Linked DNA regions of Neodiprion lecontei. The protein of the gene in region 2 purifies or fractionates together with the protein of the main gene of each other region. This does not show direct contact. Links are inferred from orthologs where the notes say so. Each region holds a gene or a part of one and is shown on either strand. Other genes may lie near its edges.

Region 1 (12,773 bases), about 1.4 Mb from region 2:
TCGAAAATAAAAGGTTCAAGATTTGCGTATTTATAAGTACGTTGGTGTATTAACACGAATGAAAAGCAAAGAAAAAGAAAGCACCACGTATCGACCCTGGCCGACACATGCTTGCAGATGTCGCCGTATGTCGGTTGCACGACTTACATTGATGACATCGCAGACTTAATTGAACTGTCAAAATCCTAACCTACTGTTGTAAGCCTATAGTATAGTACGAGTTAATATCTCTTCATCCAATTGTTGAAGTATTAAAGTAAAATCGAAGTGTTATCTACCAGAGTTAGGAAATTTCAGAAAATCGCACCCAGTGCGTGAGATCAACCAACAATCGATTCTCCCGACCCACTGACTCGTCAACTAATCGATGTCGGGCGTAATCGGGTGTAATTGTGGAGCGTGACTTTCAAATTTTACTTGGAAGTGATTTTTGATAGGAACTGATGGCGTAATCACTCTCACAAATCGTGGCTCGATAGTTAACGGTGAGATAATTGAAAGTTAACGCTGACCTCGCTGGTTCGCCGATTGGCTCTTACGCGGTGGTCTGACTGAATTACTAACTCGGCTCTGGCCCGATCCGTTCATAACCCAAGACGTCCTTTGCCCGACGGACGCTCGTCGTATACGCCACTTGTTGCTAGTTACACACTTGCTTCGGCGGAGGTTTAACCTGTTTCGTGCTCTCTACAGAAAAATCACCATCATGACAGAGCCGTAAGTAACGATTACTACTTGCTACTACAGGTAATTACTAGGAAAATCGGAGTGCACGATCATGCATTTAATAGCCGGCGGCAGTCGCGAACCGTAGCTTTAATAATCGTCTTTCACATGTTTGACCTACTTTAATGCAACGTTTTCCGTACATTTACCTCCCGCGCGAATCACAGTTCCTGTTCATGTTGCGCTACACCATTACGAAACGCCATGTTCTACTAGTAATCAAAGATAATCGTATATCCGAAATGTCGGTCATAGTCCAGCACTGTAATATCCGGGCTACCTCAAGGGCAGTCAATGACGAATGCAGTAATTTATCTGCCATGCAATGTTACTACTACTCACAATTAGAAATTTTCGTAGAACACAAAAATTGTTTATCACCATTTATTGAATAAATTTTACACTATCTTTTGATTGAATTTGTTTTGAAAGTTCTAATTTTCTTACATATCTTGTTGAATGCCGAATGAACCACAAATGTACAGTTTTTGTTCATGCTCAATCTTGTCATTCTCATCTTTTTACAGTGTCGCTGATATTGCCCTTATCGGTCTTGCCGTTATGGGACAAAACCTGATCCTGAACATGAACGACCATGGGTTTGTCGTTTGCGCTTACAATCGTACGACAGATAAGGTGAAATCGTTCTTAGAAAATGAAGCCAAAGGCACCAAAGTAGTGGGTGCCTTTAGCTTGGAGGAAATGGTTTCCAAGCTAAAATTGCCACGTCGTATTATGTTGTTAGTCAAAGGTTCGTATCCTTTTATAACAGATCTTAGTATCATGATGGAAAAATTATGAACATATAACCAGCTCTAATAAAGGCAGTAATCGTAGTTCTGAAAACATTAGTGCTGATGACATTCAAGCCTAAAAATCACTTGAATTCTAAGGATATCGCTAAAACGTTGTTTTTTGTCTACATATATGCACATGACGTCACAAAGTCACATTTACAATTCGTATCGAGCTTAAATTATGATAATGCTAATGTACTTAGTAATCTCAATGGCTAGAATGTTTTCAGTTACATCATGATTGTTATGTAAGATTGCTTGAAACTCTCAAAAAATACCCATCGAGGTGAAACTTATACACCTTGAATTCGAATCATATGTGCGAAATTCTTCCGTCAGCAAGCAGAAAGCATCATTATTGTAACAATAAAGCACTAACCGGCTTTTAATATCACTAAATCTCGGTACCAATCAAACTCTATGAAATATTAAATTGTGCGAAAAAATGTCTGCTGTAACTTCAAAGCCTTCAGCACATAACAGTTAATACAGCTAATACAACATATAACACTTGTATTCTATTTCCAGCTGGTCCAGCTGTCGATGGGTTTATAGATAAACTGGTACCACTTTTGTCATTGGGAGACATCATTATTGACGGTGGTAATTCTGAATACCAAGATACTCAAAGGCGTACGGAGGAACTGGAGAAGAAGGGGATCCTCTTCGTTGGCAGTGGCGTTAGTGGAGGAGAGGATGGGGCCAGGTATGGGCCATCCCTCATGCCAGGTGGCAATCCCAAAGCATGGCCTCATATCAAGCCTATTTTCCAGGTAATTGCCAATCAAGGGCTAGGCGAATAGATATTGCTTTATTTATAGTTGGAAATTGCCTCAAAAAAATTTGTGTGTCTAGCGTCTTGACTCTTTGTCATAAAATTATTGCTGTCACTACTCAGAGAATCATGAATATAAACTACATTCGGGACAGTAATTCGAAATGTTAATACACTACGAATATTTCAGTCGATCTGCGCCAAGAGTAACGGTGAGCCATGTTGCGATTGGGTCGGAGAGACAGGGGCTGGACACTTTGTGAAAATGGTTCACAACGGTATAGAGTACGGAGACATGCAACTGATCTGCGAAGCTTATCACATCATGAGAAACGGGCTTGGTCTGAACCCACAGGAAATGAGTGACGTTTTTGGCGAGTGGAACAAGGGGGTGCTTGATTCTTTCCTAATTGAAATTACCCGAGATATCTTGAAGTACAAGGATGGGAAGGGCTATCTTCTCGAAAGAATCAGAGACACAGCTGGGCAGAAGGGTACAGGAAAGTGGACGGCTATCGCTGCCTTGGATTACGGGATTCCTGTCACGCTAATTGGAGAATCAGTGTTTGCAAGGTGTCTCTCCTCGCTCCAAGGTGAGAGGATTGAAGCTAGCACCGTTTTGGAGGGTCCAAACGCTGTTTACCAAGGAGATAAAAAGCAATTCCTCGAACATCTTCGGAAAGCGCTGTATGCTTCGAAAATCATTTCGTATGCTCAAGGATTCATGCTGCTAAGAGAAGCTGCTAAAATTCACAACTGGAATTTGAATTATGGTGGAATTGCGCTCATGTGGAGAGGTGGATGTATCATCAGAAGGTGAGAGAATTCTTTAATTGATTGCCACCCTCTCTGTAGATGCCACGAATTGGCCCGATCCAATTTGAAAGAAAAATCATCATCCTAAATGAAGGTAAACGTACGAAAATGGTTATCAATGTATTATGGATTATGATTACAGCGCCTTTTTGGGAAACATCAAGCAAGCCTTCGACAAGAATCCAAAGCTGACCAATCTGTTGCTTGATGATTTCTTCGCGAAAGCAATGAAGGAGTGCCAGGCGAGTGCTAGAGTGACGGTGGCAACAGCTGTAACTCTTGGAATACCGACTCCTGCTCTGTCGACTGCCTTAGCATTTTACGATGGGTTTAGAACAGCGCGTCTTCCTGCAAACTTACTGCAGGCTCAGCGTGATTACTTTGGAGCCCACACTTATGAGCTACTTGGCGCGGAAGGAAAATTTGTTCATACTAACTGGACAGGCCACGGAGGCAATGTATCTGCGTCTACCTATGACGCGTAAATAACGAGTTATGAACAGCGCTGGTAGTTGTTCATACCAAAAGAGAAAGGGCTCTCCGTCATGCAAGACAATTACCGGTTAGCTTTTATTCTCCCTGTCATTTTACGGATGCGGGTTTGTCACCAGTTACGATTGCTGAAATGAGGTGGTTTTATTTTTCTGCAATCGTTTTAGGATACAAATTTCTATCTTTTTTTTTTCGTCGTAAATCAAATCAAGTGCACTTTGTATGAAATTTGGATTGTAACGGCTACATTTAGGGCACTTGGAGTAATAAATAATCGGCATAGGAAATATTTATACGGTATCGTTTATTACTCTTAAGACTGTTGCAACATTCCGAATACATTACGAATACATATTATAGTTGTTTCATAAGTTTGTACATTTTGCGATAGTCATTTAAATTATAATATTGTAACAAAATAGATCAATGTATGAAACATTTGTTTGCAATATAATTTTAGTACGAAAATCAGTTAAAGTCAATCAGATCAGCGTATGGAAGCGGAAAAAGTGAAAATTTTAATCGAAACGTTGTTCAACTGAATAAAACTGTTTTATTCTTACTACTTCTACGCCCTGCAACATTTTTGCGTGTCCAGCCTATAAGCCCCGTTGCGCGCATACAGATGACACAATCATTTCGCCGAATAACGGTATAAGTCTAAATCCCGAAATTTTGTAATGAGAAAAGCAACAAGTTGATAAGTTCGCTGAAAGAATAATTAACCTAGGTGTAATAAGGCTAATTTCAGCTGAAGAATCGAATCTCATTAAGTATCTACGCAAGAGAAGTAATTAAATTTTACCATCTATTGTATATTCTATCGCTTTCATTACAGTACATATAATAAATTATTCCATATCTGCGCATATTTCTGACCGGTACCAAAATTACACGACCTGTAATCGATGGCACATAACGCGCACAACACTGTCACGAGCAAACCGGGTACCCGGCAGCTTTAACTGATTGTAAGTGATAACAATCTCCGGTTTACCGTTGTAAAAACTGTCGGCAGTTTGATGCGTGAATGGTATTGAAGGGATGAAATACGGAGCCGAAGTCGTAGACTCAGCGATGGTACATCACGTTTCATGTAACACATGTGTCACATAAATTGTACCGTTACGTGTTGCCTTTGATGTGTCGGCCCTGAAGTCGTTGAATTTTAGTTCTCGTTGGCAGCGTGGAAGGCAGGCAACAGCAGCCGCAGCCAGTATATTCACATTTCACTAGTAAAATGGCTGATCACAGAGACCGCGAGGCGTATTATTCTCAGTCGGATCCGCGTTCGAAGAACGACGACCCACCGAATTCAAGATTGTTTGTAATCTGTCATAAAAGTTTGGAGGAAGATGACCTCAGGAAGGCGTTCGAAAAGTTTGGAAAAATTGAAGATATTTGGGTTGTTAAGGATCGAAACACTGGGGAAAACAAGGGTAATTGGATAAATCAATAACTTTCACTAGCGTCTCATTTTCGGTTATTTACATATCATGTCATTTCACCAATTGCATATTTTCACCTCTCAGTATTTTCATCCCAACTGTTCTGCGTTTTGAATGCAATCGGAAACTTCTGTTCGAATGCCGCCGGCGTTTACCGATAACTATAGTACCTAGTGTGGCTAGCCTCTAAACTTTTCGACCAGTTTTAGAACTTCCGCTAATTAATACTTACACAACGTGATTTCGGCACCAAACCTCCAAATTATGCATCCTATTTGCACATATGGCTCAGATCACGTGATATTATATCGTATCTTACTAGTTTTAGTTTATCCAAATTATCCAATACTGAACCTTTATGCATTGTATCATCTTTTTATGAGAAGCTTTTCACTGCATACGAATTTTTATCTCGCACAACCCTACTGTGCCCTGGAGATTTTATTGATAACGTAATTTTATTGTTACAAAGCAACTGATCCCCTCAAACAATGTCTTACGAAATTTAAACGTCTTCAAAACATCACCTGTAATTAATCAGATGCATATAATTTAAATGTAGAGATTGCATACAATGGTGTCATCCATACATGAGTTTTCAATGTCGACTCTACTTTCTTAGAAATTGACCTTTTATCAGATGAGCATAATTATCTTCAATACTGTACTCCACCCACAAATTTAACAACTAAGTTTACCGATTTTCTCTCTTGGAAGTTGATCTATTTATGAGTCTTGCTTATATTTGATAGACGTAATATCTTTGAATTAACATAGACTGGAAATCCAAAGATGAGAGAGAAAACAAATGAATCAATCAACTAAAAATTGTTTAAAAATCCGTTTGATCGACCTTAAAATAAATTTAAGGTATCAAGATGTTTTCTTTGCAATAATTTCATATTCTTATTGTGTTACTTTGTGCAGGGGTCACATATATTAAGTTTTCGAAGACATCGGAAGCTGCTTTTGCATTGGAAGAAATGAATGGAAAAATGTTGGGAAGCGTTGGTCGACCAATTAAAGTTATGATCGCATCTAAGTGAGTATAATAAAGCTATGCTACTTGAAAGTGATGTTAACTAACATGAAAATTTTAGATGAATTTTCATCAACATTACGTGCAAAAGTTAAATATTGAACATTTGTAAGAATGCTGTAAGTTGAATCTGTACGAAGTGAATTTTAACATGTGAAAATTTTATTGTACTCTGAAAATACTGTTGTACAAGTCATCGTGAACTGTACGAGATGAATAATGGGACAAATATTTCCTATCCAGCTGTAATAATATTTTGAATAAGATGAAGTGAAATAAAGTTTTGCATAATGTATTTTCAGCCGAGACCAAGGATCTGTCAGAGAAACAAACGAGGAGGAGAGGTGGGTACGTTTGTTTTGTGTGCTACCAAAGTCAATGACTGATGGAGAACTGCAGCAGGAATTTTCTAAATTTGGTCCTATTGATTACGTAACGGTAGTCAAGGACAGGATTACAAATGAATCGAAAGGTTTCGGCTATGTCAAATTCAGAAAGGTATCAAGTGCAGCTAAGGCATTCGAAGAGTGTGACAGAAAGTACAAAGCTGTCTTTGCTGAGCCAAAGAAGCCCAAACCGGATCATAGCGATTTAAAATATAACAATGGTATCTCTGCAAATTATGATAGCCATGGAGGAGGATACGGCACCAGTAATTTTGGCAAAAGTAGCATCAGCCTGGAGATTGCAACTAATTATCCGAATGCAGAAGGTTATACTCGATTACAGGTCATAGCACATCCGGCCTTGAATCAAGACCAGCTTTGGAGACTTTTTGACATTGTTCCTGGCTTAGATTACTGTCATTTGAAAATGGACATGAGATATCGAATGCCGCGAGGGCAAGCGACGGTGGTTTACTCAAATTCCAGTGCTGCTGCTTACGCTAGGGAAAAGTTTCACGGTTTCGAATATCCTCCCGGTCACAGAATGATTGTAAAACCTGATGTGACTGGTGGAAGTCCTCAGAGAAGTACAGCTAAACCTGGCACCTCCAATTCATCTGGTATAGCTGGCACAAGAACAGATTTAGCTCACTTGGCTGAAACTATTGCCCAAGCTACATCATTGATTCAAGCTGCTGGTCTTACGGCACCAAGTAAGTATGAATCCCAGAATATCAAACTAATTTCACATTCAAAATACTTGATATCAGAAACTAACGGTAACTTTGTAAAATTGCTCCTTTTTCATTAACATTTATATGATTATTATTGGTTCAAATTATGAAAATTAGTGTCTAGCAAAAAATACGCCACATTTTGAATGGGCCTAAGTTTCATTGAGAATGAGTATGTGATGTGAGATCAAAGTCGACAGTCTGTAGACGTTTTACTTTACATTTTCTATATTAAGATTAGTTTAAGTTGCCAAGTGTCAAAGCATTGTTTTTAATACGAATTTTATCGCACGAAACAGGTGTTGGTCCGTTGGTTACAGGTTTGGAACATACAGTGAATATAAAACTTCCACCCGTTGAGCCAATGGCTAGTATTGATGCAGAAATTGCTAAGAGATGTTTTATTGTGTGTGGACCACCTGTGCCTCCAATTTATGCTATGAAAGATGCTTTTTGTAGATTTGGGAACTTGATAGATGTGTATATGCTTCCTGGAAAAAATTGCGGATACGCAAAATATGCGTCTGCCGAAAGCGCGGACAAAGCTATTAAGGTCAGTTCATTAATTTTCTAATTACGATAACGGTATTCTAATATTGTGTGTTGATAATTCCGAGACTTGTGGTTAAATCATTTTTCGAGCACCAATGATGTCGACCTGTATGCGTAAATTTTTCTGTACCAATTCGTTATGCCCTTAAGTGCTTTGCATTTGCTCTACAGTGTTACCTTTCTTTTCGTTGTAGAGAAATCTACCGCTTAATTTTTCGAACGGGAAATTTTCTACGAAGGTAGTTTAATGTTTAATTGTAGACACTGCACGGACAAGAGATCTGTGGATCACGTTTGAAGGTGTTGGAAGCTGAGGAGAGGAACGTGGGCGACGATCGTCGAAAGCGTCTCCGAATGGACGAGGATGAAAATTGAGGATGTTCTACACAACACGTAAGTAACAAATTGCACCGAGACCGAAGCAACGCACGTTTGCGAATTTCTTTTTGTACCCTCGTAAATGTTGTCGGACGTTGTTATATCTTGGCAGCGAAAAAAAATGTAATGTTTCTATTTGTCTCCACAGACTGACTGGTATACACAAGCTGGACGCACGCCACAAATGAGACGAATTTTAAGACACACTGACCACGTCGGGCCTGCAGCCAAGGAAACTACTTCAACCTACTTTTATACAATCGCTTACGTTGGAAAACTCAAACGTTACTGAAAACTAACTTTACTCTACTTATCCATACTTATTACTACACTTTGCTCAGTTTATTCGATACCATAGCTCCGAGTAGGCCTGTGCAAGCAGTGATGTATATTTATTTACACACACACACACATATATATATATTTTTGTTTTATAGAATAGATCAAAGTTGATTTCACTGAATTGACATAGACAAACGGCATAATATTAATTTATAGTGACACCAGAAGGGGGGGGGGGGGGCAGTACATGAGTGTGTATGTGCAAGTGTATGTGTGTGTTTTTATTCATCGTTGTATTTAATATTTTACATCTACTTAACAGAAACAATCTGCAAAAGATTTGAAAAAAATTTCAATCTTACAATCTTTTCTTTTCATCCAAATCCGTCTCTCAATATGTTATGTATACCTGTGTACTCTTATTCAGGACCAATTTTATCCGTTTAATATTAACGTTGAAAATCGTCTTACTTTACTACAAATTATTACGAAGTACGGTATGTACATTGGCCAAACGTTGATGCAATACTTGATACTCACACAGTGCATCGTATATTGAAATTGGCCCAGCAATCAAGTTAATCGCGCCAGCGAGAATTTTCCTTTTTTCAAATTTCAAGAGTTGAAGGGGTATTATATTGGTTATAAAATGCATCGCGGTAAATGTTTTATATTTAATTATGACGTGTTATTTCATTGGAATTTGACCAATACTACGTATGTACATGGTTGATAACAAGGATTTTCATGCTGAAATCAGAAATGTTAACTGACGGGCAGAAATACGATTAATAAGCGTGTCGTACAGAGTATTTCATATTTAATTATTTTTAATATACAAAATACTGATTGAAAATTGAATTCTTATTACAAATTTATAAAATTCATTATACATAGTCGTATACCTAACTAGAGTATTAAAAAAAAAAAAAAAATAAAATACACCAAAGCAATTGCCAATCGGATGGCAGACAGGCCACAATAAACCGTTTGTCAGATTGAATAGTAATGTGATTTCAGGAAATGACTTTGCGCATTTTTACTCTTAATTGCATTAGATGCAATTAACTCGAGACTAATGAAATGCTTGCCGTACATTGATAACATTGAAAATCTAGTTAAGCTTGTAATCGCAACGTTGAGCGCGGTTGAATTTTCTATTTACGATCATATGCTACATACGATAGATACATTTTACAAATTACATGACTGTAACTGACTTGTTCATAAGATATCAAATACAGATTCTCTATAAAAACTTTCCCAATGACCTTACTCACTTATTTATGCAGAAAATTGATTTCCCACTGACGTGACTGTTGATCAAATGTCCCTTAATAAATGTTCATAAATATGTTTTTTATTTGCAGGAAATCCAAGCTAAACCTGTACCTGAAGACTGTGATAAATTTGAAAAATCAATGTATATACATTTTTTTTTAGTACGAGTATACGTATTATTGAAATGAAAATGACCTTTTATGAAAATAAAGTATATATTTATACGTGATATATCGCGTTCTGAATGTCTTTACAACCCAGAGATACTTGTATCATAATCTCCCTCGTTAAAATATTACCTGTTACCTTGAACTACTCGTCGAATAATTTTTGAATTTCAGATTCATCATACACTGAAAAAAATCAGTTATATCAACTAAATCGTCGATAACCGGCGGCCGAATAAATATTTAAATACTGCAATTAAACATTAGTTGTCACTTATACGTCGACTAGTGTTGAGTTGTAGCGATTAATTTTCTATTCGGCTGTCTATGTTCGTCCATTTCATTAATTCAACTGATTTTTTTCTTCGTGAAAAAAGAAAATTTTTATGTGGTTTTGATATCTCTCAGCGACAGCAAAAATATGTCGTGATTAAGCATATGGTACCGTATGAACTTGCATTATTCTGAAACGGTCAGTCATTATAAATGCTGGAACAAAATTAAGTATATTCGGTCTTTTTTTCGGTTGAGTATTCGATACGCCACAGTCTAATATGTTTCATCTAAAATTTTGTTGTTGAAATAATTGTGATGTATAATGATGTATGTTTATTGATGTAGTATTTACTGACAGTATTATTATACTGTAGCTGATTGTAACTTGACAAATCAATCAAAGTTAGCGTACGTCTCGAAGGACTTGATGTACTCCGCTGCGGCGTTGTACAAGTATTCGAATTGTTCCTGTGATAAAATAAAATATGCTTTGCGTCATTAGGCTGGCATTAGTGATTTTTACTTTTCATCACCTTTGGTGATATCAGAAAAGTACTGATTTCGGTCGAAAATCGCTTTTTCTGATCTTCACGAGTCTTTACGTTTTTGAAATTCTAATATCCGAAAAACAGGTTTTTAGAAAAATGTCGTCTGGATGTCGTTCTGTCCGTCTGACCGACAAGCTCCTGCGATGATCTCGAAAGCGGTTTGACGAAAAAATTTGAAACTTACAGGATTTAACAATCAAGTGATGGGCATCAAGAATTGCCATGTCCCGTTTAATTTGAATTTCCGGTTCTTCCGGAAATTAATCGATTTTCAATATTTTACCGATAAATCTATAGGGCATTCCATACGAAACCGACCAATCCGTGGCCCCGACCATTTTTGATTTCGTTGAAAATCTATTTTTTTTATACCTACTGAAAGCAGTCTTTCGAATTTTTTAAAGATTTTTGTCTGAACCCGTTCAATCAGAATAAATTTTTCAAAATTTTGCACTATTTTTTTTAAATAGGTACTCGTAGCTTTTTCAAAAACAGATAGAACAAAATGCTAGGTCTTTTTATTCATTTTGGGATGTACTTCATGAAGAAAATATGAAAAAACATCGAAATTCATTTTCAGTTTTTCAGTTTTAAACCCAAAATGTTTTTTTCAAATCATGTATTATTTTAATTTTTTTTGTAAAATACACCACTCTTCAAGAGACATTTTTACAAGTATTGAAAAATTCGTAGCTTGTGATAATCATAACTTGTATTTTTTTCTATTTTTTATCGCGTGTGAACTAAGAAATCGTGTTTCCTCTTTGAATTAATAACGCAAGTAGAGTGATTTGACTCGAGTTATTATTTTCGATTTTTCATTCAAAAATTTTTCAGTTAGCTGCCAAGTTCTATCGGTTTCAGATTTTTCACTCGGCCGTTTTCGAGGTCACCGAAGAAATTTGTCGGACAGACCAACAGAGTTTCCTTTTCATGGTGATGAAAAGTATCGTGAAAAAACTGTTTTTCCGGTTTGTTGTTATTGTACCACTGAATCGGCGAAATACTAGTCAGGCGAATTTACTGCATTGACCGATTTCCTCCGAGTACGAGTTTCGGCGACAGCATTGAAACAAATCGGCAAACCAATTTGTTTTCTTGGGGGGGTAATTTTGACGAGAATTTTTGTATACGGGTCCATTGTGAATTGACTTTACCTGAGACTGCACAAAACACGGTCTTGCCCGACGAACAGCTCGAACGGCTAAAATGATGTCACATTCTCGTTCGACGGCCATTCTTTCCAAGACAAAACTCAAAGCCAAGTAGAGACCGCAGCCGGTGACGCCATCGCTGAAAATAACGACAATTCCGGTGCAGAAAAAGGCGAGACTACTTAAGGAAATAAGTAGCTATTCTTGCCATTTTTTATCAGCATACCGGCTTCCGGTGAAACAGAAAATGTCTGTATTAACTCTGACAATTACGTAAATATTTGTCACGCAGGATATGAACGGAAAAACCGCGCTACAAGATATCCAATAGATAAGAGGGTACATTTAATTCTTACAAATAAATGAATCAGTTGTCACTTACTGACAAAGAACCAGCGTTGGCCCTTGTTCTCGATGAATATCCTCCGATATTATCCAGAAGCTAACCAGATCTTTTGGCGGTGGCGGTTTTCCACCACGTCCTAAACCCCATTCCGTGCATGTCAACACTGTAACTTGACGAAACTCTGACGAACCCTTTGTGAAACAGAAAATGCAGATAATGTTCAGTGAAATTTTTTCAACCGAGTTTACTAACAATAGTCCTCTACCGAAAGGCGTATCGACAAATGTCCGATTACTTCGAATAATATCCTTTATAAAAGTTGTAAAACACACCCCTGACTTGTCGGTGAGTAGAACCTCGTTGATATGAAAAGATTTCGTTGGGTCTGAGCTTGTTTTCACTGCCACATTTAAGGAGGGTACAGGATTGAACGAATCTTTGTTCATCATGACGTCACAGCATGTCTGCAAAAATAGATTAGTGGGAAATTAAACGTCCACGGCTACACGTATTTTGATAAAAATAAATGCAACGTTGATCCATGGATCCTTGATTAGGTACACGCGAGGCTTGTCC
Region 2 (9,843 bases):
GGAGCCCCGCAGGCATCATTTGCTAGTAATGCAGTTTCTACACCAGCCATGAACAGAGTCGCTAGTTGAACTCCACGAGATGTGACCAGAGGTAGCTTTAAAAAATTTTAATTATATTTTGAACCATTTGTAAACCTGTCAAGTTTTTCTTCGATTGTTGAAATCAGTTTGTTCAAAATATTCACAAGTCGTTTGACTTAAATATTAAATTAAATTATGTTTACCTGTAAATCTTGGAGGTACTGAGCATTCATAAGTTCCGGGGAGAAAGCTTGTGCGATGAATGCATCAAGTTCTTGACGTCGCAGTATTTTGACCTTGTCGTTGAAACACATTACGTACCTAAGATTTAAACAGCCAAATTGAAAGACACCTGCTATTGCAGATTTGAAAATAGAGATAAATAAATACTATTTTCATGAAGATAACTAGACAAGTTTGTTTCAAATATCATTCAGAAACAGTTGACAAGGAATTCAACTACTCCTACACCCATATTTGAAAATACTTGATATTTTAACGCTGTTTATTCACTCAAAAATTAAGTTTTTCAGTTCCTCTACTTCCTCTAATGACTATGGTAAGTTAGTATTCACACCATAGCTATGCTAAGGAAGCTCAACATTGCAGGTCTGGTAATGGTTGAACCATTTTAAAAGGTGGGAGAATGAAGTCATGTCATAAGAATGAATTTTCACACGTTAAAAGACGTGAACATTGGTCGAAACAAGAATCTTCTTTTGTTTTGAGTCACAGTGAAAAAATTTCAATAACTTATAATTTAATTTATATTTACCTCAAAACACAAGCCATGACCAACAAATGTTGAGGAACATAAGAAGGATTCAACATGAGAGGTGTGTCTGATTTCAGGCAAGTTAAGAATCCTCGAAGTCTCCGGCGTTTGTCGTCGATCCCTGTACTGGAAAAAGTTAACCGATAATTATGAGTTGCAATCCTTTGCAAGAGAATAAATTTATTTTGTTCATGACAAGCTAGACATATTTCGTCCACTTCATTTCTTCTAATGAAATTCGCATCTTTAGCGTATCCAAGCAAGGCAATCAGTAATTTAAAATATAAGCTAAACGAAACATGGCTATGAATTGCTATACTTTGAAATTGATTCTGTTCGCCTCAAATTACAACATCAACACAAACATCAGTGGACATACCTATGATGCCCATGGGAGCTGCAACGAACGAGTATGTTGGATGGATAAAGAAGCTAAACAATAATTCTGTACTTCATGAGGCCCTGACAATTTTGAAAGTCATGTTTTTTTGTTTTTCATGTTCAGCTATGCCAATCACTATAACAGAAAATGAGGCTACGTATCAAATATCCATACTCACCCAAACCATAAACGCTGTATTGTAGGAACACCCCATCCAATTTGCTCAGCTTTTACCAATTCGGGTGTCTGGTAGCAGTTCGTTTTTGACCACACCCATTCTTTGATCACGACGTCAGGTACGTCCACTTTTTCGTTATCTGTTACGATAGTTGAGAATAAAAATTGGTAGCTGTACTGTCGGAAAACTTTTTAGATAAAGAATGATTTCATGATTTTGATTTTGGAAAGTAATACCGAAATGGGTTGGGAAAATTTTACACAACTATCGATCATGACTACCAGGAAGTTGCAATATCAGAAAAACTAGGACTAAATCTGCATCCACCGAAACATAGGAACTGTGTTGAAAAGTAGTTTATTTATACATGCTTGTTACCATAAGCTTATTCCACGAATTGGATATATCGTTGGGTGATGGTAATTTGGAAAGGTAAATGAATGCTAAATGCTGAAGTTGATAGTCTAATGACACATTGCTTGTCCAAACCTAATAAAACTCAATAATAAATAATCTAATTGCCATGCGGTAGAGGAATAAATGGTGATTACTTTTCTTGCCTGGTCTTCTATTCTTTCCTGCGGCCTCTAATCAAAATTTTTATGGATATAATGAATATCGTGAATGTGACATAAATCTTCCTGTAAGAAGTTACTGAAAGTATGCTACAACTCGTTAGATTTTACACATTACTTTTTTCAGTGACGAGGTACTGTTAGCAATTACTAGCCCTACAAATGTTCCTCAAGTTCAGATTGTTATCATAGATTAAATTTTTTTGCGAAAATTGACTTACCGCCTTTCTCCTTGTTCTTTGTGGCGAGGTATATGCGGTGGTGCACATTGAACAAAATGGCGTAAACCATTTGCCTCACAGGTCTGTAGATCAAGTGGATGGATGGGAATTCCTTGTGACTTTCATCCTCTAACAGAACTGGCAATTTTAGTTCTCCGGCGATCAAAATTTGGTATATATGCGGAGACATCAGTCCTTTCTGATGTCGTTCTGAAGCTGTACGCATAACTTCCGGAACAGTGCTGGGAATGCTTGTTGTTGATTCAGACTGTTTAGTGGAATCTATCGTAATATGCGAGGGAGATGTAGCTGTTGAACTACTACTCGAGCTCGAAGAACTGATCAGTAGATTATGAGTACCATTTATGGCATGGCCATTGTCTGTCAAAAAGGAAAAATGTAGTAATCAAATTAGATCAGAACGCGTAATGAAATATTTTCTATTTATCAACTCCACGATGTTTGGCGTCTAATTGAAAATTTAATTCACATAACTGCTAGTTTAGACTTACTCTGTTCTTCTTCGGTTCGGTTATTATCAGCATCTCCATGTCCCTGAATTCCTGGTGGTTCAATTACGATTTGCGGAGCAGCTTGGGCATTCGCTGTTGCTTGTTTGTACGCTTGCAAGCTGTCACGTTCACTCTCTAAAGTCTCTGATGCGAAACGTGATGTTTCTAAATTAGCATCGTCTTCAGAGGTTGTTGATGGAACCTCTGCTATATTTTTCTGAACTGGTATATTTTGCTTAGATTCGGACTTGCGAGCTGTACAGAATATTAAAAATGTAGGAACTACATTGTTTTGGTAATGAGATAAGTGAATGAAACATGTCATAGAACTTCTGGCAACATTTTGTTACAGAAAATCTTCGTCAATTACCTTTAGCTGGTTTCACTGGCTTATAATGTAAAAATCCTTCTTTGGTTCCGTTAATGTAGTACTGTACAGACTGTCTGAGTTTAACACATCTTGGGTCAGATAGAGAGCCGAAAACATTTTGTGCTACAACATCCAATTCAACAGAATGCAAATCTTTTACAAAATTAGCCACTGTTCTGACTAGTTGTTCAGCTGTTACTTTATTTGGGTTAGTGTTCAAGTTTAGTTTTTTGTAAAAGTCTGCTAAATCTTGTTCCGTAAGTAAATAATTGCCGAGCAATGCAGTCAAGGTGCAAAGTCTCTCTGATGGCAGATTGAGCGACTTTGTGAATTCAGAGATGATGTATTCTTTTGTTTCCAAGGAACCCTATAATGACAAAAACAACCTTCGTAGTACATGTGAGGTATAATAATTCGATACAAAATTTGCAGTTTGCTTTAAAAATCAACCAGCAGCTACCAATAGTTATTTGCGATCAAAAATATCAACCAATTCTATAAAAATCATTCTTAAATTATGAACACCGAATTAGTTAAAATGAGTATTGAATACCTTGTAGGTTAATTTCAATTGTTCCGACGAAAAATACCTCGGTGGATCAAATGCGGCATATTCGGCATCATCGGCTATCAATCCGTTGAAATAATTTTCACGGCAATAGGCGATAACTTCTTGGTGATGATCATCCATGCTGCACAACTGTTCAGTTAAGAGAAAAAAGAAATGGATTCCCTCAATTAGACGACAGTTATCAATAAGCGTCCTCTGTTAGAAATACTAATCATATCAACCCTTGCAATAAAATTTACAAAAATATTTTACAACTTCTCGCATCAGCTGTCCTCCGGTCGTTCAGACGTCTTTAAAAACGTCGTGATAAGAAAAGACATCCTGATATATATTTTGTGGGTTTAACACATCTTGGAATACTAAAAATAGCTCATGATTTGACGCTTTTCGACCAAACTTATCATTTTCTGTATTTGAAAAGTGAGTTATATTTTGCACAAGATGTATTAAAAATAAGCTCTTACCACTGCAACATTCAAGTGCCGGAGTGCCATGCGAAGGCTGGTCCGTAGACAGACTGGTGGTGTCCACCAAATTTTTGGAGGAGGCGTTCCTTTGGTTGTGATGTGTTTCAAAACCTATAACAGAGATTGAATTTACATCCAATTTATATGCATGTATGTTAATGTGATTCTATTTCATAAAATAAATTGGGTAAGACACTTACATTGTTAACTTTTATTCGAACTTTCAATTGCTGCTGAATCCAATCAAGGCGTCGAGGAGACTCCAAGGATCCATTGAAAAACACAGCCAACTCTACTCCAGACATTTCTGTAGCTTGTGTCAACACTGCTAGGAATTGTACCATCCGGTTCCATTGACCACCGCAAGCCCAGTCTAAAATGTGAGTGCAGAGGTCACTTTACTTTACCGACTGACGACTATCAAGTTTTTTTTTTTTTTAAGAATTCGTTCCAGTTCAATCAAATGAGTTTGGGGAGTGATTTTACCTGAGAAATAGCCGCCGTACAATCTGTCCAGACAACATTCTCCATCAAGAACTAATCTGAGTTTGGACGATGGTGACTGTTGTTGTCCCTTTCCAGAACGATTGCGTTGTCTCTGAGCGACGTTACGAGCGATTCTCAGTAAGTCTACAGGTACCGAGCCACCTTGAATGGCATTGCTGTCCAAAAATGCTTGTAAATCTTGTATACCCATTGCAACAGGTTTTTATTCCTCTTTACAAAGAGAGTATTTGTTTTTATTCAACTTTACTTTACACTGTTTAATGAAATGTTACTATTTTTTTTTATCTTGATATTTTATTTTTCAGAGCCAACAATTCATTAATTTCTTTTACTTTTCTCTAGATTATATATTCTTAGATTTTCAATGTTTTCCTTTAATAGGTAGAAAAGTCCAACTCCAATTTCAACAGTCGAAAGCTGAAAAGAAAAAATCAAAATGTCACTTATATGTACTTCATTTTTAGATTTGTGACTGATATTTTAGTCAAAATTATGCTTTGAGAATATTTGTTTTACGCTCAAAGCTTTGATTATTCTTGCCGGCATATTAAATCTCATGCACTTTAGTATCAGGCAGCAACTTGATCCTAAATATCTGAAGCTTCTGCATAATCAAATCTCTCGTGTAACTTAATCGGACATCAACCGTCCTTCAAAATGCTACAAACTATTAGCTATATTTCATTAACAGTAATATATCAGACAACGTTGCATCTCATTATTTAAAACTACGAGTACCTATTTTAGATCCAATTATTCGCTCAGTAACTTTACACCTGGCATCTATGAGTTGACAATTGAATCGAAAATAGTTGTAAGAATTAAAAGTATCTCTAAATTATAATATTTCGTTGAAAGTGATCTAATTATTACATGGAAAAAATTGAGATCAGAACGGGAGTAAAATGAACATAATCATGCAATCAGGACAAGTTTAATTTTTACTTGTGATCAACGGCTAGCACAGAGGTTTAGAACAATTGGTGTGGTTTTATTCCTCCCAGAAAAAAGCATAATAATAATAGTTGAGAGATAAATCTTCATCTAATAAATTTTAGTCACTTTGACTTCGGCCGAATTTCATGAAAATCTAATACGCTGAAAAACGCGTGGGAACATCGAACATGAAATGGTTCGCATAAACTCTGATTGCTTTATTATTGTCAGTCTCTTGACGGCTCCTGGTAGAGCATGACGTGGTTTATTGCCGAAGTTCCGTGAAATAGAGGTTTTAATTTGATTACCCAATATAGGAGTGAATGAGCCAAGATCCGTCAAGCTTGTCGGCATATGAATCGGGACGTTCCGTTTAGAAGTATAAAATAATGCGAAAAAAGATGTGCATTACGTTCGGACATTTGCAGAACAGTCGAGAATAGTAAATTTTCCATTCTGCATTGTGTCCGAAGAAGCGTGACTAGAGACGCCATTTATTTTGTTTACGTGTACAGCAATGCTGTTTTCATCGACACAAAGTATAACATGTCATGAATTATTTTACCGTTTAAAAGAGGCGAGCCGAGCTCGAAACAAGTCCCATTATTCGAAGTAGTATATCAACGTTAAAAACGGTCAACATTAGCTAGGAATTTCCTCGCCGGCATGGTGAAAACGGCATTTTAGGTAGCAGAATCTCTCAAAGAACAAGCTCGTCTAGTTCAACATGTGGGCTGCTATTTGGTTTTCGTTTAGCTGAGCGACTTAGGGCCTCGATTATCGCAGTTATTTGTAACATACTTACGTTAAATTAGCGAAAATCATTGTGGCTCCAAAGAAACACAAAACACACGGACTTTGACTATGGTTGACGTCGGGTTCGAAAACGGAAATGTACTCGGGCACGCTCAGCCAACTTGTCCCGTTACACTTTGTTCCAGTGGAAAAGTTCGTCGCGATTCGTCCGATTTAACGGAAATTCAAAATGTCCGACGGATGCCTGAGACGCGTCTTGTTTTCAAACACGGCGTTGAATAACGAATTCTTTTATTCCTTACAACAATAATAACAAATCAATTGTTCATCACGCCTAGCAGCAGCTGCGTTTGTGTCTGTCTCGCATTCAAGTTTTCATTTCAATCAGCTCTAATAACAATAACAATAATAATAAAATGAACATATGAATATGCCCGCAAATTTCAGCACGGATCGACGTTGAATCCTTGAGAAATATTAACACATCTCAAAAACGTAATACATAATATTCCGATTTATAAATTCAACACGGATATTATAGTTTTATCGTGAACGAACAATGGCAGACGCGAATGCCTTGATTTAAGATTTTGCGAATCAAATAACGTCTACATACCTACAGAAATCAATATCATATATGCAGATCGCATGGTATACGCAAGTAGGTAATTTTTCTTACATAGAAAATTCTATAAATTTTCTTATTTATCATCAAAAAGCATATGTGTACGTTAGAACAATATAACGACGTAGATATGATGAAGTGATTATACACTGTTATAAAAGTCCGGGGACGAGTTAAATTGAATAATGTTTTTATTTATTTTTTGTACAAATTACACTCACACATTCTCACAAGCATACACAGGATCTATACGACACGCAATTGATATTTGCGCGATTACTACACACGAAGTATGGTGATGGAAGAACAAAAATAAATTAAATGCATTGCGTTTCAACAACTGGTATGAAAAATTTACCAATGAATATGTTATAACGATCCTACCTTGATATTCTGTTATAATCGAGCATGACAGGCAACTATAAACAATTGCGATGCTATGTATCACGTATGCAGCTTGTCACTATACGGAATATCAAGTCTCACATTTTCTCCGTCGACCTAGATTATTGCTAATAATAATCCAGCTACACATCTTTTACGAATAAAAAATGAACAAATCAAAGGGCAAAAAAAAAAAAAAGTTCAAATTAAATCCTACTGCAAAATTTTTGACTCTTTTGCATGTAAAAATTGTAACGTTATGTTATTTATTTGAAGCTGCTATACATTGTATAGCTTACTTCGAAGATTTGAAAGTCTTTCCTTTTAATATCTTAAAGCTAAGAAATTTCTTTACAGTTCGTCGTGCTCTTCGTCCTCCTTTTCTTCATCAGCGTCAAGTTCTGACGCCTTTTCAGTCTCAAAAGTGGAATCCTCCTCACCATCTTCTTCTTCTTCCGCTGTCTCGGACAGTGGAATTCCCAGAGTCTTTCTCATTAGCTGTTCAACACTCAACGCGAAGTCCGAAGTCTCCTTTAACATGTAGCCGGATCGCAAAGTCGCAGTTCTGAACATCATAACAGCAATATCCTTTGCCGCTGGATCACTTGGATCTTCCTCAACTCTGCGTAACAGCTCGCGGATCAGTGGATGTCTTGGATTTATTTCCAAAGTTTTCTTCTGATTCAAGTAGTACGATTTTTGTGGGTCGTCCGCCTTCTGATGAGCATTTGATATCGCTAATCTCTCCATGTTTCCGGTCCATCCAAACATGCTCGCTACCAACGCACAGGGCGAGTCTGTCAGACGTTCGGAAACCTGTGCCTTGCTGATCTGATCCTTGAGTGCCTCGTCGTTCAGCCATTTGGTGAGGGGTTCAAAGGTGGTTTTGTACTCCTCAAGGCGCTCCTTGGCCTTGTTTCCTTCGTCAAGGGTGAATCCCTCCTTGGCAACGTTCTGGAACTTCTTACCGTCGAACTCTGGAAGTGAGGAAATGGCGTACTCGTCAACGGCTTCAGTTAGGTACAAAACCTCGTAGCCCTTCTTTAGAAGTCGCTCAACAAACGGAGACTTCTCTACTTCGCCACGCGATGATCCAGCAATGTAGTATATGTGCTGTTGCTGCTCCTTCATTCGGGATACATAATCTCCTAGAGACGTCGTTCCTTTTTGGTTGGAGGACTGGAAGTGGAGGAGTTTGGATAGTCTGGCACGATTGCTGGCATCTTCAATGACCCCCAGTTTCATGTTTGTACTGTATTCTTTCCAGAACTTGTCGTAGTCTTCCTTGGGGATCTTCTTTATCATATCCAATACTTTCCTGATCAGTTTCTTCTTTATAACTTTGATCAATTTGTGCTGCTGCAGGGTCTCACGCGAGACGTTAAGTGGCAGATCATCGCTGTCTACAATACCTCGAATGAATGATAAATAATTTGGCATCATGTCATTAAATTCGTCCGTAATAAACACACGCCTGACAAACAGTTTAATATTATCTCCCTTGGTGCCATACTTATTAAAGCTATCGCCAGGCTGTACCTTAGGAATGAACAACAGAGATTTAAACGTAACTTCACCCTCAGCAACAAAGTGGGTTTTGGCCAAAGGATTGCTGGTATCTTTTGTAAGTGCCTTGTAAAATTCGTTGTATTCGTTGTCCTCAACCTCGTTTGGTTTTCGTGTCCAGATAGGTTTGGAATCGTTCAGGATTTCCCAGTCCCAGATAGTTTTTTCAACAGTTTTAGTTTTTGGCTTATCATCCTCGGATGCTTCCTCGACCTTAGCATCATCCTCCTCAGATTCGGTCTTATCATCTTTTTCAGTCTCCTCGTCTTTCGTAATTTCATCCTCATCAAGGGGTTCTTCAACCTTCATAGTCTTACTGGCCCACAGGTAGATAGGGAAGTTAATGAATTGAGAGTATTTTTTCACTAAGTTCTTCAGTGTATCAGGTTCCAAAAAGTCTGCAGCTTCGTCCTTCAAGTGCAGGCTGTAATTGAAAAGATAGTAGTATTAGAAAAAATTGTCATTGAAAACTAGAAATTAGGGTTGTTCCAAGCTATAGTATTTGAAACATTGAAAAATAAAGTAAAGTTAGAGAAATAGGTAATACGCAGAAAAAACAAATTTTGTTAATAACCAGTGATTTTAACTGTTTGCATTGCAATTTATAATGAAAATGCTTACCTAATTGTCGATCCTCGCTTGAGGGTATCACCTCGTGGATCTTCACCAATGCTATAGCTGGTGCTGTCAGATTCCCAGATCCATTGCTTATCGTCGTTGTGTTTAGATGTAACTACGACTCTGTCAGCTACTAAAAATGAGGAGTAAAATCCAACTCCAAATTGGCCGATCATATCGTTCATGTCTTGTGCGTTAGCAGTGTCCTGTAGTTTTCCCAAAAACTCTGCAGTCCCGGACTTAGCGATAGTTCCAAGATTGTTGATCAGGTCGCTCTTGGTCATACCGATGCCCGTGTCTGTGATGCTAAGTATCTTATTCTCTTTGTCAGCCTTGATCCTTATGGTCAATTCATTGTTAGTTTCTAATACATTCTTGT

Evidence for each region. Proteins that work in one complex are often made in the same cells at the same time.
Region 1: the proteins of constitutive coactivator of PPAR-gamma-like protein 1 homolog (region 2) and RNA-binding protein 45 purify together in Homo sapiens (co-immunoprecipitation; 3 studies listed by BioGRID and IntAct, with this or other methods). This does not show direct contact. The link is inferred for Neodiprion lecontei from reciprocal best matches to the Homo sapiens genes FAM120A and RBM45.

What each region holds. Positions count from the first base shown.
Region 1 is NC_060263.1:36,899,565-36,912,337, reverse strand, and holds RNA-binding protein 45, read left to right. Parts: upstream 1-4,793; 5' UTR 4,794-4,846; coding exon 4,847-5,045; intron 5,046-5,981; coding exon 5,982-6,096; intron 6,097-6,395; coding exon 6,396-7,192; intron 7,193-7,512; coding exon 7,513-7,766; intron 7,767-8,026; coding exon 8,027-8,140; 3' UTR 8,141-8,158; intron 8,159-8,291; exon of another isoform or gene 8,292-9,417; intron 9,418-9,795; 3' UTR 9,796-9,935; downstream 9,936-12,773. Other genes in the region: 6-phosphogluconate dehydrogenase, decarboxylating, read left to right, coding at 707-717, 1,254-1,477, 2,052-2,296, 2,489-3,114, 3,257-3,599; receptor-type tyrosine-protein phosphatase epsilon-like, read right to left, coding at 10,543-10,617, 11,855-11,990, 12,234-12,388, 12,530-12,661. UniProt on the Homo sapiens protein: RNA-binding protein with binding specificity for poly(C). May play an important role in neural development.
Region 2 is NC_060263.1:38,264,732-38,274,574, forward strand, and holds the start of constitutive coactivator of PPAR-gamma-like protein 1 homolog, read right to left. Parts: upstream 6,434-9,843; 5' UTR 6,321-6,433; intron 4,997-6,320; 5' UTR 4,770-4,996; coding exon 4,559-4,769; intron 4,446-4,558; coding exon 4,273-4,445; intron 4,184-4,272; coding exon 4,070-4,183; intron 3,735-4,069; coding exon 3,588-3,734; intron 3,402-3,587; coding exon 3,035-3,401; intron 2,920-3,034; coding exon 2,665-2,919; intron 2,534-2,664; coding exon 2,153-2,533; intron 1,944-2,152; coding exon 1,908-1,943; intron 1,496-1,907; coding exon 1,357-1,495; intron 923-1,356; coding exon 797-922; intron 343-796; coding exon 225-342; intron 96-224; coding exon 1-95. Other genes in the region: endoplasmin, read right to left, coding at 7,632-9,270, 9,468-9,843. UniProt on the Homo sapiens protein: Component of the oxidative stress-induced survival signaling. May regulate the activation of SRC family protein kinases. May act as a scaffolding protein enabling SRC family protein kinases to phosphorylate and activate PI3-kinase.